2 linked regions of the Schizosaccharomyces pombe genome follow. The protein of the gene in region 1 binds, or shares a complex with, the protein of each later gene. Each region holds a gene or a part of one and is shown on either strand. Other genes may lie near its edges.

Region 1 (7,708 bases):
CGTTGATAACAATTAAATAGCATATGCGAGTGTAGTTTAAGAAAACAAAGATTTTCTATTTTTATTAATTAAATTATCAAAAAACTAAAGTTACTGTCATAAACCTTACAATAAAACTCAGGACTCATGTCTAAAACGGATTACATTAAAAGCCCTATATAAAAGAATAAAAAATACGCAAACAAAGAAACTTTTTCTACCAAAGTATTCACAGCTTTTTCCAAACTCCTTGTAAAAACGTACGCTTCATATTTAAGTTACGCTTTCGGTTGTCAACGGTGCGATTAACTCGATCTAATGTTACTAAGCCAAACCCGGCGCTTTTCATCCATTCAGCAATATCTTCTTCTCGAAAAAAAAGTGATAAAGTTCCATCCTGTCTAACGAACGTCTGTTCATCAATCATAGATGGGTCACCGCTTGTCATGAATTTCTCTTGAGCAAAATCGCCATCACAGTAATCACGAAACACCAAATGCCCTCCTGGCTTTATGACTGAAGCCAAGTTCTTAATAGAACGAAGCTGCTTCTCGCGTGGAATGGCAGATAATACAAAGATGGCAGTTAATGTATCAATGCAAGCAGAACCCAAAACTTCAAGCAAAGAATCTTCGGTTATATCATTAACAAAAGGAAAAACTCTATTTTCGTTATAACAGGAATGCTTCTAAATTAAGACAAAGGTTAGTAAATTAAATATTTCAGAGCAAATTGGCATAAATTTAGTAGCTCTCCTTACCTTCACAAAATCTATAGCACGAGGACTAAAATCACAGCAGTATATCTTCAAATTTGGTTGCACTTCTAGCAGAGGATAGACGAGGTTTCCAACACCGCATCCGACTTCAAGGATAGTCAATGGCAACTTATCGGGCAATCCAAAATAACAATCGAATTCACGATCAAGCCAGTGTCTATCTTTGAAAAACCTTGTTTCATTTCGCTTGTAAAACTTATCCCAAGACTTTTTCGACTCCTTTTTATATTTTTCAACCCAAAAATCACTTAATTTTGATATACCACTCATATCTCCTAACAATTTCGTAGCACGGTCTTCTATATGTATGAAAGATGTTTCAAAATATTACCCAACCCAGTAGTTATTCCAAAAAATGCGATAAAAAATTTGTATGACAACGATTTACCCTACAACCTTCAATGAATACCAAACTGGCTCGATCAATTTTTTTTAAATTAAAAAAGCACTATTTTAAATAAAAAAATAACCAAACCTAGTTCGTTAATTCCAAATTCACAAATCAATGCACACTGTGCAGAGAGCGTCTTGTTCTTCCTTGTAAACCTACACCTATACCAATTCGCGCGCACCTTGTGATACTCGCAACTCTACAAATATACAATGAATAGGACTTCAGAAAGTGTGGAACCTCAACAAAATGAAAAAACAGCAGTGCATTGGAGCAGAGAATGGGTTCCTGTTGTTGTAGATACATATTCTAATGAAGATGATGAGGATAATGAAGAAGGAGATGAATCCAGGCCTCAACGAACATTTTTAGTAAAACGGTGGGTGCAAGATAATGTACAAGTGGAAAAGAAGGGAGACGAAGAGACTGCAGCAGCAGATAATTGAGAAAAAGTAGATGAAGTAGGAATTTAGAGTTGCAGCGTCACCTGCCCTTTGGAATATACCTTAGCACCTGCTTCCGTTACCTCGTATAAAAGCTCCTTGTCATCATCCTCCGGGGTCTCGCATATTCCACTACGAAAGTGATTTGGCATTCGAGAAAGACGCAGGAATCCGGTGATTCGTCGAGCGCTACCGCTAGTCAAAGGCCGACAGGAAATACATCTAGTTGCCATGTGTCCGATTGAAGAGCCTAAAGACTTTTGTTGTGGTAACGGAGCTCCCAAAGTCACGTTTACAATGACTCTACTGAAACATTTTCGTAATTCCAAAATTGCCTGCTGAATCTTTGTGGAATCGAGAGCATGAGTACTTTGTAAAATATCAATATCTTCTATGATGATCGTGGAGTTTTCAAATTCAAAATCGTTTTCCTCCACACATTGGATCACAGGCGCGAAAACAGATTTGATGTGATTTTTGGTTTCTGGTGCTTGTACCTTCGAAGGCTTGGAAATAGGAGCAAATAGCATGCTGAAGCCATCGATAAAGAAGAAATTTTTTTTCGTTTTAATATCCATTCCCTAATATTGGTTCAGTAGGTTAGTCATACGAATAGTTTATCATTCAACCACTTATGCAATCGTAATCCCTCTTTTTACATACCCATTTACGCATACTAATTGCATGCTCATCTAAGGTTTTACTGAATGTTAAAAAACAAGTACTTTCCTTTGCTTTCAACGCATGGTATAAATAATAATGGAACAGAAATGTGACAGGTGTTTCTCTTGTTCCCAGTAGCAAAGTTAAAGAAAAAGGCTCAGGAATGGGGCGTAAATGCTCGTGTAAAGAAGACATTAGGTTTAAGAGCCGTTTGTCATTAGTTTTATAGCCTAACTACAGTAACCAGCTTTCCGAATGGTTGTAGAGGGTGAATGGAAAACACAAGCCTGGGAACGGAGCAACATGAACCAGAGTAAGAATGAACAAGCCGGTCAGTAATGCAAAGCTAGTTCTAATATTATAGAAGTTTCAAGTATCAAATTAAAGAAGTCTAATACCAAATTATTTTCCAGAAAACTATCCTCTAAATGTGGATAAGCTATTTCATTAAAAAAAGAAAAACTATCTACCTATGGAACATTGATTTGCCTAAAAGGCAATCATAATAATAAAAAAGAACAATAAAGAGCAAATCCCAATAAATTAGACTGGAAAGGGGTTTAGCTAAAGGAGGTAAAACCATCTATCTATCATATAAGTCATAAAAACAAGCAGCATTACTTTAAAAATAAAAGAGAGCAGCCAAATTAAATATTAATAATTCCAGAGATTGGTGAGAACAAGGAATAGTTTTATAAACATTTGTTTCTGTACATTGTTCTCTGTAAAGTACAAAGGGCGAGCTGAAGGGGTCGACGACAAGGATGAAAAAAAAGAACAAAACATTATCCAGGTAAAAATTTTGAAGAGGGGAGTAATCTTTTTTATTCCGGTTATTAAAACCAAATTAATTTCGGTACTGAAAAGTAAATTGGTAAGGGGAAGATGAAAGAGTGTAGCATATATGCGTGAGCGATTTGAGCATTATTGTCTAGCAAATAAAAAATTTTTATTTCTTATTTTCTTTGTGAAGCCAAGGCATATTACACGTAAGACTTCCTAGTGGGACGAACGTAACTCACATTTTTAGGACGACAAAGGACAACCAGAAAATTGAGCCATATGCTGTCATGAAAAGGATGTACATCTTCAGTTTCTGTACTCTTTGCTCGTAAGTATTCATGAACATTCTGACCAACAGATATTAAATAGCACTGGTAACAGAAAAGGATGCCAGGAAGTATTGCTCCAAGTGCCCCATAAATGCCAAGGAAGAAAGATACGCCAGCCCATGGACGACGAAGATGCGCCGCAAAATTTGTATCTGTGGATTCATGAAAACTTCCTATAGAAGTATAGAACCCCAATCCAGTTAGATACAAAGCTGAAAGAACGACAGATAACAAAAAAATAAAATAATATCTGTAGTTTCGACGACCAATGCAAGTGTTTAACCAAATGCAGTGATGATCAAGGTATTCAACACAATTATCACATAAATGACAATGGCTTGCACGTGGAGGACGATATAAGTGGCACGTATGGCAATAAACTGTATTAACAAAGACAGAGTCAGACCGAGTGGATCCAACAAGGACTTTACGGTCTTCAGGAATTACAGACCAGGGATGGGCAGGGTTATAAGTTAAAGAATATGCATTTCTAGGAAGAATTCCTGGATCAGCAGTCGAGCACTTGAACATGGAAACAACGGCTAAGGCATACAGGTAAGCAAAGGTAATAGGGACAGCGGGAGAGACATGATGCCAGAGCCAAAAAGCAGAAAAGATGAAGAAAAGGACTCCTGGAAGAATCAAGGCAAACAAGCTAATGAGGAAAGCTTTGTACTGAGATGACATTTGCAATCGACCACAACATAAATAGATATTGTTTCCTGGTAAATTCTTATATCGGCTTTCAATATGCGGTACTTCCGGAACATCATCAGGAACGGATTGAAATCTATAAGGAATTTGGTTCTTTTCTTCCAAATTCATGGGATACGTTGGATCAGACAAAGTCACCTCAAATGGATTCCATGGCTGATTCCACGCGTAGCGGGATGCCTTAGCATCACTGTGTTTCTCATAGCTCATGATTATATTCTCTAAACAACAAACATGGCAAAGAAACAGCTATTTTTACACCTGGTATTATATCTTGTAGTTTTGTTGTCGGTAAGGATATGAACCCCTTTTGCGATGGAGGGTGAAGTAAATATTAGCATCCGCCAAAGTTTGTTTACTAAGCAAATAAAGAAATCAAAATAAATAAACAATTAGAGAATGTGACTCTAATAACTAATATTTGGAATGGCGCCTATTTAATCGATGAGAGTGTATTAAAAAGAGAAGGGAAATAAAAACAGAATATGAAATGAAATGCTAAAAAAAAAAATACTAACCGAAGAAATAAAATTAATAATAATAAATAAAGTACTTATTTTTTTTTTACGAATAAAATGTAAAAAAAATTATTTAAGAGTGCCAATATATTAGTATTTATATTTTTCAAACTTTTTATTTAAATATATTTCATCGATACTGTAATTGGAACATCCTGTCAGTACAACAATTCAGGGCTCAAAGTTAGAAAAATCAAGTTTAATAAATTATACTATCCGTGCAATTTCGGGTTTGTAAAGAAAGTGGATAATATATGGAAAAATTAGTAATATATGACTCGATAAAGACTCCAAAGACTAAGATAAAAGACCAATATCATGGGAAGTAGACTAGCTAGTAAACCATTTTCATCTTGTGTATTATGTTTTTTTTTTTTTTTTTTTTTTTTAAAATGGCTAAATAACTAGCAGGAAAATAATGGGAGGGTGTAATTGAGAAAATATTAGAAATGAAGGTACGGAAGCAACGAAAAAAGATCTTAAAAGTTTATTAGAGTGTTGCAACTATTGAAATTATGATTATCGCGAAGCTATTAATGAAAGGGCTAATTTAAAGGATCATCTCTATACTTTCACTAGCCCCGAAATAACCCAATAACCTCTATGGCTTGTAAACAAATAACTCAAGAAACACGGTATATGGTCAGTTATGGATGAAATTTTGAAGAAAAATTATTACTAATCTACATCTAAGAAAAACCATCCTGGCTTCATTCACTGTATTTAGTGGAAATGTAGTTCACAAGATTATCGAATTAGATTGTTATTCCTCAATATGCATGACTCCAAGCGGTCCTTTGGTTTTATTTCCTGTTTTAAAGGGAAATGAATTAAATTCTTATTCCTTAGAAAATCTCAATGACGCTTTTAAACGTACTTGTACATTGGACCTACTTTACTGGAGAAACATTTGCGGTCAGCAACTACTATTAAGTTACTAACCTCATGGCAGCTAAATTTTGAAAAATGACTATATTTATTTATAATGGTACGAACCATTTTTATTTGTTTGCGAAGTTTTTTAGTGTTCTCTTCTTATTATTTACAAATATAATCTTAGGAAAAGTTTAGTAAATAAGTGTCCTAACAAATTCTATAGTATAATACAAGGGTAGAGGTAGTATCTGAAAAGTATTATAAAACTGTATAAAGCAATATAAATACAAGGGCGGTTCGATCCCGATTGCAAACGCTGGAAAATCTAGAAATATTGGAAAGTTGCTTCTTTCACCACTTTAGTAGAAGGAGTTGGTGATTATTATGATATTATTATCCATTCAAATTTGAATCTCTTAATGCGCACCGTTGCTACGTCTTGTCTGCGTCAGGTGGCGATCCCCATAAATATTGATGCTTGTCATAAATGTTGCGAATGTTCGCCTACGTATTTCATTTTGACATTTACAATCATAAAAGGATTTTAGATCCTTTCCATCTCGAAACAATTAATCAAACTATTCAAGCGAACAAGAACTTTTTATTTTTGGAACCATCATGTCAATTATGCGCTCAATTATGTCGAACCGCCTGGTTCGCTGGTCAAGAGAATATCCAGAACTATTTGTAAGCTCAATTTTTTTTTGAAAAATATATTGAGTTGATTATTTCGTAAGCTGATCAGTTTGCTGTTAGATAACTTGGTGTGTCATGACTTATACCTTTGGAGTTGCTGGTTATATGCTTGGTATGTTAAAAATTAGTAGAAAATTAGAAATCAGCGCAGTTAATGAAACATTATACTCAATTTTAATATTCTGTTAAAATTTTCCTACAGAATATTTATTTTACAAGCGCATTTACATATGATTGTTTAAATTAAATGATTGTAGCTAACAGTTTTTTAGGACAGCGGGGCTTGTTGGTACAACATGAAGATCAAGTCCGAATTCCTTCAAAAAATGCTCACCCCTGGGAAGACACCAAAAGCAGTAGCGGAAAAAGTGATGAGAGTCTTGATTATAGCTACAAGTATTATCCTCGAGGAGATAGGAGTAAAGAACCTCGAAAGGCACCTTCTGCTATTCAATACAGCACTTTTCCCGTTAAAGGTGTATCAGAAGAGGTACTTGAGCGATTCTCTAAGTAAAGCACATTAAATTGTGTATAACCTTTTAGGAATGAAAGAGAACAATTATTACATTGCCAAATATTTTTTTAGTGCTTTTTCACTTTACAAATATCTCACTCTCTACTTTATGGTAGGCTCTCATTTTTGGAATATTTGCCCTGATATATTGCAATATTTCCAAACATCTTCTTAGTTATGATTTCTTGCTTTATTGCTTTAATGTATAAAAAAAATATTTGCTTATTAACCTGTGTTTGAAAACGGAGTTTAGGCACCACTTTACCAACTTCACAATTTATACAGCATTTTGAAGATAATGATAAATTTGTAAACAATAACAAAAAATAAGCTTGTTTGAGATTTTCAAATAACTTAAATTGACCTAGTACTTGTTGTCGTTTAACGTTAAGCTTAATCAATAGCCGAGTAATTAGTAAATGGGACTTGCCGAAAACAACGCTTTTCAACTTAGAAAATTTAGCAAACCCACTCATACCTTTTAATAAGCATGGTCAACGCAGCCATAGTTGTTTCCTCAAATCGTCCAAATGTGCTTGAACAGATTTCCTCCTTGTTTAGAGATGGGAAGACTCGTTCTCTGGGGGAACAGTGGACTTTAGTATCAGGCCAACTTAAAGGAACGTTTGAAGATGCTAAAGACGCTTGTAACCGCATTTCTGCTACTGAGAATGTAGACTGTAATTGCTTGAGTGAAGCAACATTTTCCACTAAAAAGAAGCTTGTAGTATTTGACATGGACTCGACGTTGATTCAACAAGAGTGTATTGACGAGCTCGCGGCAGAAGCAGGCATCCAGAAAGAGGTTGCTACGATTACATCTCTTGCAATGAATGGGGAAATTGACTTTCAAGAATCACTTCGTCGTCGCGTTTCTCTACTACAAGGGTTGAGCGTCGATGTCATAAATAAAGTCATTGGCAAAATTACTTTCACTCCAGGAGCTAAACAGCTTTGTCATTGCCTTAAGCAAATGGGTGCGACTCTTGTTGTCGCTAGTGGTGGATTTGTTCCAATGGCTGAA
Region 2 (8,103 bases), on another chromosome or scaffold:
ACATAACTACTGATGCTTGAGGGCTCTAATTTTCAAGCTAAATCAATAAATTTGTAAAGACTATTAAGGTCGTCATGATTTTTTAAGACTCTTAACACTATTTAATTGCCTACCGACGCATTAAAATGCTCTTTCGTGAACTAACAAAGACTTGGGTCTTTTTTGTTCAAATAAGCTACACTTCAAATGCTAGTTTTTTAAGAAAATTTATGGAGATTCTACTTTCAAAATTATTTATCTTGCAGATTTAGAATGTTCGAATTAGGCAGATTAGTTATATTCAATGCATAGGATGAATCATAAAAGTTGCTTCACTTTGATATTATTTAATATAGCTTCATTTGTTTGAGTTCGATATATTAAGATACAGATTGCTCTTTTTTATCATATTAACAAAGGTTGAAAAGAGGTCTTGATTGTAATGGTTTAAAATTTAAAATAACTAACATATGTAATTTTCCATACATCAAACATGTTTTACCTTAGGGGTTGCTATATTTAGTTTACCCAATTCAACTATATGCTTTATCTCAAATTTAATAAAATCGATGATGATTATTATGCTAACTGCCACAAGCGGTTAGAAGAGATATGACTCAAATATCGCAAGTGTAAAATGGACATTTAGGAGTTTTTGCTGACTTGATAAAAATATTCATACGAGTAAACAAAGGACTGGCACGCCTACATAATGTTGAGACGAGTGATTAATATGGTTTGGTTAATTAGGTGTATTATGAATGAAAGAAGTACTGAAAGTGAAATAGAGAAGCAACTGAAATTCACAGCTTTCTCTTTAAGAACGAACGAAAAAATGACAAAAAAGCTAAAAGAAACATATAAGTGCAGCAGAAAGCTGTCCATCCCTAAAATTACGGGTAAAGAATATTAAGGAAAAGGGGATCTAGGCGTTCTCTCTCGACTAGCAGTAAACGAAAGTCTGTCTGCGAGAACATGGCTTGAAGTGGTACGTATCGGGGGTCCATGCCACTTAGAGGGACTGCTCATTTCTAAATCATCAGAAAAATCTGCTATATCCTCATAACTTCCATTTGCAGACATAATGTACGGAGCCTTGCGACGTTGCAAGCGCAGAAGGAATTTTTTGAAACGTTGGCGCCTTTTCGGATCATACCCGAACAAAACCAAAGAGAACAGAAAGAATAAGCAGAAAATAAATGAAAGAATAAAGAACAATTTATTAGGAAATAACCTCATCCAATGTTTTGAAGGGGATGCGATTAGCTTTCCGTATGGGTCCATATAATAATTAGCATATTCCGGTTTTGCTAGAAGTTGCTGATTTGATGCATAAAGCAATACTTGGCCTAAGGTCCAGCTCACTTCGGTGCGTTCTATTTTTTCTAAACTCGTGAATGGAGAATGGTACGCAGGAATTACCGAGAGCCCATCCTTTGCATCATTACTACTTGTATTTGACTTGGGAACGTCGAATCCTTCATGAAGGACATTCAACGCCCATGATGCTTTAAAACAAAGCTTTTCAAGCTTGTTTTCATCAGTACTTGGAGTCAGCTCTTTATTATAAAGACGGGAAAGCATGGTTTCCCACTCTGTACCACAATACTCGTCAACTTTTTTGTAAAAATTAGGGAAATGATAGCTACCGCCCATATCAAACACATCATTAGTCGTATACCAAAATTCCGAGACCCCAACAAATTCAGTATTTGCAAAATCAACAGGAGGAATAGATATTCCATCAAAGTTACAAGGGTCCATGGAGCATGGCTTGTCTTTATTTAATAGATTGTAAGTCAGTTTCAAGCATTGTTTCAAATCTCCAGTACCGGCAAATTCGATCCCATCGATATCATAAGTTCGTCCACGCAAGGAACACGGATCGCTTAAAGTGTTGCCAACTTTTCCGTTTTCGCTTTCTATTAACAGTCCCAAATACCTGCGGTAAGCTTCATTAGCGCCAAAACCGAGCCAGGTAGTAACAAACAAAGGATATTCCAATTGCTGACCATTTTGTAGTCCTATGTGAACGGTCGAAATACTATCCTTGTAATTTTTGAGCTGAGATGGGGGAAGTTCAAAAGCAATTTGCACACTCGCACCGCCCATATCTAAAAAACCAACCGTTGACGTATCTTTTTCTTCAAGTGTCTTAAGGAGATAGTTCGTAGCTAGCCAACCATACATACCTTCAGCTTTGCCATCAATTACACGGATTGAATTTGAGCAATTAGGTATGTCGAAATCGTAATTCTTTTTAATATATCTACAAGCATGCGAAAGTATTTTGTTTTGGGCATCAACGCCCAGTAAACGCATACCAGCTGTAGCACTTAGGAAAACCGGAGTTTCTTTATGTACATCTTTGGGAATAGCATGAGCAGCAAAATCCAGGAGTTCTTTCAAATGCTTCTTCCCTACATGCTTAGGGTTATTGGCAAAGGAAGAAATTCCAGGTTGAACCTTTAAAGACCATTTACCACCATCCCCAATCCCTGTCTCGATTAATGGTAATTTTTTTACTTTATCACTTAAAGAGGAATCGGTATCATAGTCCCAAGAATAAATTAGAAGTCTTGAACCACTAGATCCAGCGTCGATGAAAATTCCATACTTTCGAACCATTTTTAGCCACCTGCACTTATTTTTCTTAACAAAATGTCTCTTTGTCTATAAGACTGGATATTAAATAACTTCGACTCTGAAGATGGATATTTTCATCAAACCAGCCCAATTTGCCTTTTGTTTGTTGATGGTTGAAAGCGCACTATGGCGATGTGAACAATTTCAATATGGCATATGTTCCCAAGATATACATCAATAAAATTCAGTTAAATATATGTATCTGTCTTATCAATGAACCTCTATTTAACTTAATTGAAACATTGAATGAACGTTTGTAGTGGATTATGAACATTCAACTCAATGTTTAACAACTAGCGAATGTATAGGTAGCACATTTTTAGGTGGTAAATCACTATATAGTGAACTCTGTCAAAATGCAAAAAAAGTAAATTGAGACGAATTTAAGGACCCATTCATACGGACTATTGGAATAATCACATTAATTTTGGTCACTTGACTTAAAAGATAATGCGACTAGAATTAAAGAGAAAAATCGAATACGCGAAAACTTTTTGATTTGTCTCTTTAATTTGCTTAGATGTCAAATACTGTTAGTACCAACAGATTGACAATGTTTTGATAACAATCATCAACAATTTACTTCAGAACTGTTTTAATAGAGAAAATAATTGTATCCTTCAAATTTCAACGGTTTAACACTGTTTAAGATTTAAAATGTCATTTACTTACAAGTATTTCATGCACTTTGCTTTAAGATCACAGTAACGGTTCTTCGTAGAGATATTTGACGGCTTTCAGTTCGCATTCTATATTAACTTGTGTTTTAAAGTTTTGATTGAGAGAACGTTTATCCCATTTGACGAACATTTAGATAATTGATCAGTTATCTAGACGGGAGAAATGAAAAATATTTAAACTCGTATGAACAATAAATAACACAAATGCAATGCATCCAAAAAAAATTATAAAATCCATTTACAAACCATAACCATATCACATAACACGAAAACGAGTAGAATTTTAATCCAATTCAATACTCAGAAACTTAGAGGTTTTTTAATTGTCTAAAAATCCAAAGATTTAACAGGCTGTTTTTGAGGATTCGTGTTTGAAATCTTCGTATCCTTTTGCTCATCATCCAGTGGAGGAAGGACCCATGGTTCAATGGTAAATCTTCTTTTCGATACAGTAAATGAGAGGTCTCCAGCTTCATTAGAGTTTGCATGATTGGTAAATGGAAGTGCTAAGGGAAGCTTATGGATACGGAAAAGTCCTAATGGTTGTGTAACTAAACCGTTAACAGTTTCTTTGACCGGGAAAGGATGCAAAGAGAATACGGCGGATGCAAGGTTTTCTAGCCAAAAAATTTGCTCGCAATCTCTTGAAAACAAAGTAGAAGGAACTGAACACATACATATCAAGTGCACCGAAGTAGTGCATTTGATGAGCGATGAAAGTGTGTGAATAAATCTTATGAAATGCTGCGGATGAGTAGCACGGATAGAATAGAAGGCTGGGGACAAAATGGATGGAAGAACTAACCTGCATACCGTACCTGGAGTCAGAGTAGATAAGAATCTCGTTAGACTTTCAATGACAGGGGCGTAAGGATTAGACCCTGTTTCCAAAGGGAATGGAGAAACAGCGTATTTCATATCGCTTTTCACTATCAAATTCTTTGACAAATCAAAGGAGTGAGTATAGCCAGGAGGAATCATATCAAGGGTCGGTGCCTTGGTTTTGGAGACTTGTTCATACCTCCAGGCAATTTTCATTCTTTCTTGCTGGGGATTTTTAGAGGGAGGAGAAGAATGATTATCCTCTCCAGCTGAATTTTCGTTTTTATTAGGCCGGTCGCTGTCGCCTGGAAGTTGACGAAACCACATCTCTCCAATAGATGGACCAAGCCAAATAACATGGTCCTGTTTAAGGCCTTCCGCTGCAAAAAATTTAAGTAGCACAGAAGCATAATCCATCGAATCTTCCTCTATAACCAGCAAACTTTTCATTGGAATGCCGCCAGACAAATAGTAGTCAAAAGAAGAACTCCCAGAGCTTGTAATCCATCTAGCATCCTTTGAAGATAGTCTAACGCCTGTCGGCAAGTTTGTTGGTGCTATTTGAGGTGCTGCTTTCCTTTTGAACGACATCAATACTTATTTCGATTGGTGTACGTGGAATAGCAAATTGGATGGAAAGGTTAACGCGACGCAAATTTGCAGCACACATTTAAGCATCATCAGTCAGAAAACAAAGAAATTCAGCGTTGCGATTGAGAAAATAAAAAATTGTTGACTAAAGTTAATCATTCAATAAAAATACCTTTTAGATAAATTTTGTTGAACTAATAATAAAATTTCACTAGTGGGCGCATTGAAACAAAAATAATATTGTAATACTACAAAATAACATAGAAAATGTTACGTCGTACAGTCAATTAGCATGATCGGAAAATGTATTACTGTTGTATTTTTGAAGATTACTTTCAATCCGAATCTAGTTGGACAAGACTTATGAGAAATTTAAGTCAACTCAAAGTACAATCTATTCATATTTTATTTTTAAGATCAGGAGAATCTGATTGCTAAAGATACAATTTAATTAGCTCTTCGCTTACCCCACTCTTCGAATCAATGATCCCTAAATCGGTAATGAGACCTGAGACAAATTCGGGTGGTGTAACATCCAAAGTAGGATTATTTCGAATTTGTTCTTCATTCATGATCAGCTCGTTATGAATAGCATCTGATGGAGTTGGAATTGGTTCAGGTTCAGGATGAACAGTTTCAGGAGATGGATCATCAAATTCCAGAATAGGACGACTAAAGGGAATATCATATTGAGAAAGGGGAAACATACGCACGAATTTATGACTAAAAAACGTTAGTACAAATTTTAAAATTAACAGGGAAATGGAGAGATCATAGGGAAAAATAATTGTAAGCTGAATGGATTCAACGTTTACGTACCTTTCTGCAACTGCGTAAAAGGGCTTATGTGCATGTTTGGCAAAAACGGCAAGTTGGAAAGTACCGATTTGATTAATGAGTCCTCCGTTTTCGACAACACCTTCTGCGCCAACCAAGACCAAATCTACACGGTTCATAGTAAAGCTTACAGCGGAATCCAAAACCATGCAAGTAGGAATACAAGCATTTTTTAATGTTCTCGTCATTAGACAGCCTGAGCCGCTAGGTCTTGATTCTGTGACAAAAACTTTGAAACGAACGTGACGCTTGGCAGCAGCCAAAAGAACAGCCGCAACACCGCGTGAAAACCCATGGGTAAGAATAACACTACCATCTCGAATAAGAGGGTAACCTAAATGTGCAATTCTTTGTCGACAAGCACGAGCACGCTGAATAAAGAGTTTTCCATTTTCTACCAAGTGACGTTTGCATTGCTCAAAATCCTAAAGCCGTGGAGAATTAGTAAAGAAAAGAAAACTACTTTGCATCAACACATACCCCGACATCGTGTAGTGATCGAGTGACAAACCGTTGGAAAATGTCACAACCAGCTGAAAGCGAAATGTTGTTTTGAACGCCTTCCTTCAGCGTATTTGAGCCATTTTGTAAAATGTCCATAAATTCTGAAATTGTCTTGGCTAATAGAAAAACATCAGTAAATTCATTTCTCACATGAGTACTACAAATTAACATACCTTGAGAGCGCGACAAAAGCTGGACTAAAGCCTCAATGGCGGCTACAGGCATCGTGATTTCTGGATCATCTTGCAAAAATTTTTTGTAAACCTGGACGATGTCAAATTCTCCTTGAGAATGTCGAACGATTCCCGAAGAATCCGATTCCACCATATTCGCAGATGCTAGACGCTCTTGCTTAGTAGCAACATCTTTTCCATACTTTAAGGATATCCAACAAAATCAAATAACGGGCAATGCCTTTTTGTATTAAATTGTAAGCTACGCAATTTGGTATCTGATTTAAGGATACGTAGAACTGCGGTGAGTTTTCCTTGTGATCTATTATATTACAATACACAGGTTGTATAAGTAGCAACTGAGTATAGGTATTGTATTAACTGAGTTATAATGTTACCTATCACTAATATAGCTCATAACTGAACTGAGGAACGAGGTTCAGCAGTAGCTCTATTTATATTATTCAGATAATATAGATCTTAATAGATTATCATTAAGATCAATCTCAATATCGTATCATACATGGTACGATATATAATTAGAACATGTGACATATAGTGATACGCAACGTAGATGATGCGATGTCGAGATTGATATTGATAATACTATATTAACAGATAGATTATTTGGATAGAATCGATAGAGATACAACTAAACCTCATTTCGCAGTTCAGTTATAAGTGATAGGTGACATTATAACCTAAATAGTACAATACCAGTACTTAGTCATTACTTATATAACCCGGCTATTATAATATAATGGATCATATGCAAAATTCACCAGTTTTTCGTATCGTTAAAGCAGATACCAAACTGCGTAGCTGACATTATACGGCGTTTTGGATACTGATCTACAGATATGTTCCTATAGATATTTATGTAGGTGATTTGAATGGTATTTACATATAAATTGGTTTATTAAATAGCTTATATTTAATTAAAGCTAAATATTGAGAATAATTTTAATATCATATTCTTGACTGAGTACATCTGAGGATAATCATGAAATTCTTCCTCGGTGATCAGTAAACAATGCTTGACTGTTGATTTCCAATATGTAACGTTCAACGATACTTATCATTGTATAGATAGTGAATTTGTAGTATAATTTACTATGTTCCTAATAGTTGAGCGTATCATGAACGAAATATGTCAAAACGCTTCCATTTTAAAAAAAAAGGAGTACTGATGAAAGCAGTAATTGGATTTGGTAAAAAGTAATATAGAAAGTTTTTTAAAAAACTATTTTATGTTTAAGAGACCTTTCAAAAGTTCATGACCATTTCTACGAGAAACTAATCTTTAGTCCAACCTTCGTAAATCTCGCTTATATTAAGCTTGATTTTACTTCGGTATTTATGGATGACGCGAACACTAAACTGGTATAGAAAAAACGCTATTACTTTCAGCATCTAAAGAAAATCATTTATGATAATTTCTATGCTTTCAATTATATCTAAATATTTACATGCTCAATCATTCAAAGCGATGCTACAAAAATATTATGTTTTAGTTGTCGACTCGAATTTCAGTAAAATCCTAACTTTATTGCTAGACATCCGTAGGTTTTCATTTATGCTATAAATCTGTGAATCACCTCGTGATCGGCAAGTTGTTAAAATAATCTTTTAAGTAACTCTAATACCATGCACTATAGTAAAGAAGGTATATATTTCTTTGCGTGCCTAGTTCTTGTTTTCAATAGCAATAGTCGTTATCTCCCATAGCTTTTAATTCTGCTCATCGATGAGAGTAACATATTCCAATATCTTCTCTACATTATCAAATCGTTTTGCAATTATAAAAATATCAATAGCTTTCGATTTCCCCCAATATGGCTAATGCTAAAATTTATAACATTGATGTAGAA

The links.
Region 2: elp6 (region 1) and elp4 share a complex: the UniProt entries of both Schizosaccharomyces pombe proteins name them as parts of the elongator complex.

What each region holds. Positions count from the first base shown.
Region 1 is NC_003423.3:1,863,160-1,870,867, forward strand, and holds elp6 (elongator complex subunit Elp6), read right to left. Parts: upstream 2,525-7,708; 5' UTR 2,450-2,524; coding exon 2,255-2,449; intron 2,173-2,254; coding exon 1,618-2,172; downstream 1-1,617. Other genes in the region: trm141 (actin binding methyltransferase), read right to left, coding at 209-667, 740-1,027; protein tam8, read left to right, coding at 1,361-1,594; palmitoyltransferase Erf2, read right to left, coding at 3,238-4,290; SPOM_SPBC3H7.08C (uncharacterized protein), read left to right, coding at 6,093-6,161, 6,231-6,282, 6,443-6,684; phosphoserine phosphatase Ser2, read left to right, coding at 7,175-7,708. UniProt on the Schizosaccharomyces pombe protein: Component of the elongator complex which is required for multiple tRNA modifications, including mcm5U (5-methoxycarbonylmethyl uridine), mcm5s2U (5-methoxycarbonylmethyl-2-thiouridine), and ncm5U (5-carbamoylmethyl uridine).
Region 2 is NC_003421.2:1,459,621-1,467,723, forward strand, and holds elp4 (elongator complex subunit Elp4), read right to left. Parts: upstream 4,771-8,103; 5' UTR 4,719-4,770; coding exon 3,633-4,718; 3' UTR 3,366-3,632; downstream 1-3,365. Other genes in the region: nucleoside diphosphatase Ynd1, read right to left, coding at 889-2,607; translation initiation factor eIF2B alpha subunit Gcn3, read right to left, coding at 5,153-5,441, 5,538-5,980, 6,036-6,175, 6,233-6,386. UniProt on the Schizosaccharomyces pombe protein: Component of the elongator complex, a multiprotein complex which is required for multiple tRNA modifications, including mcm5U (5-methoxycarbonylmethyl uridine), mcm5s2U (5-methoxycarbonylmethyl-2-thiouridine), and ncm5U (5-carbamoylmethyl uridine).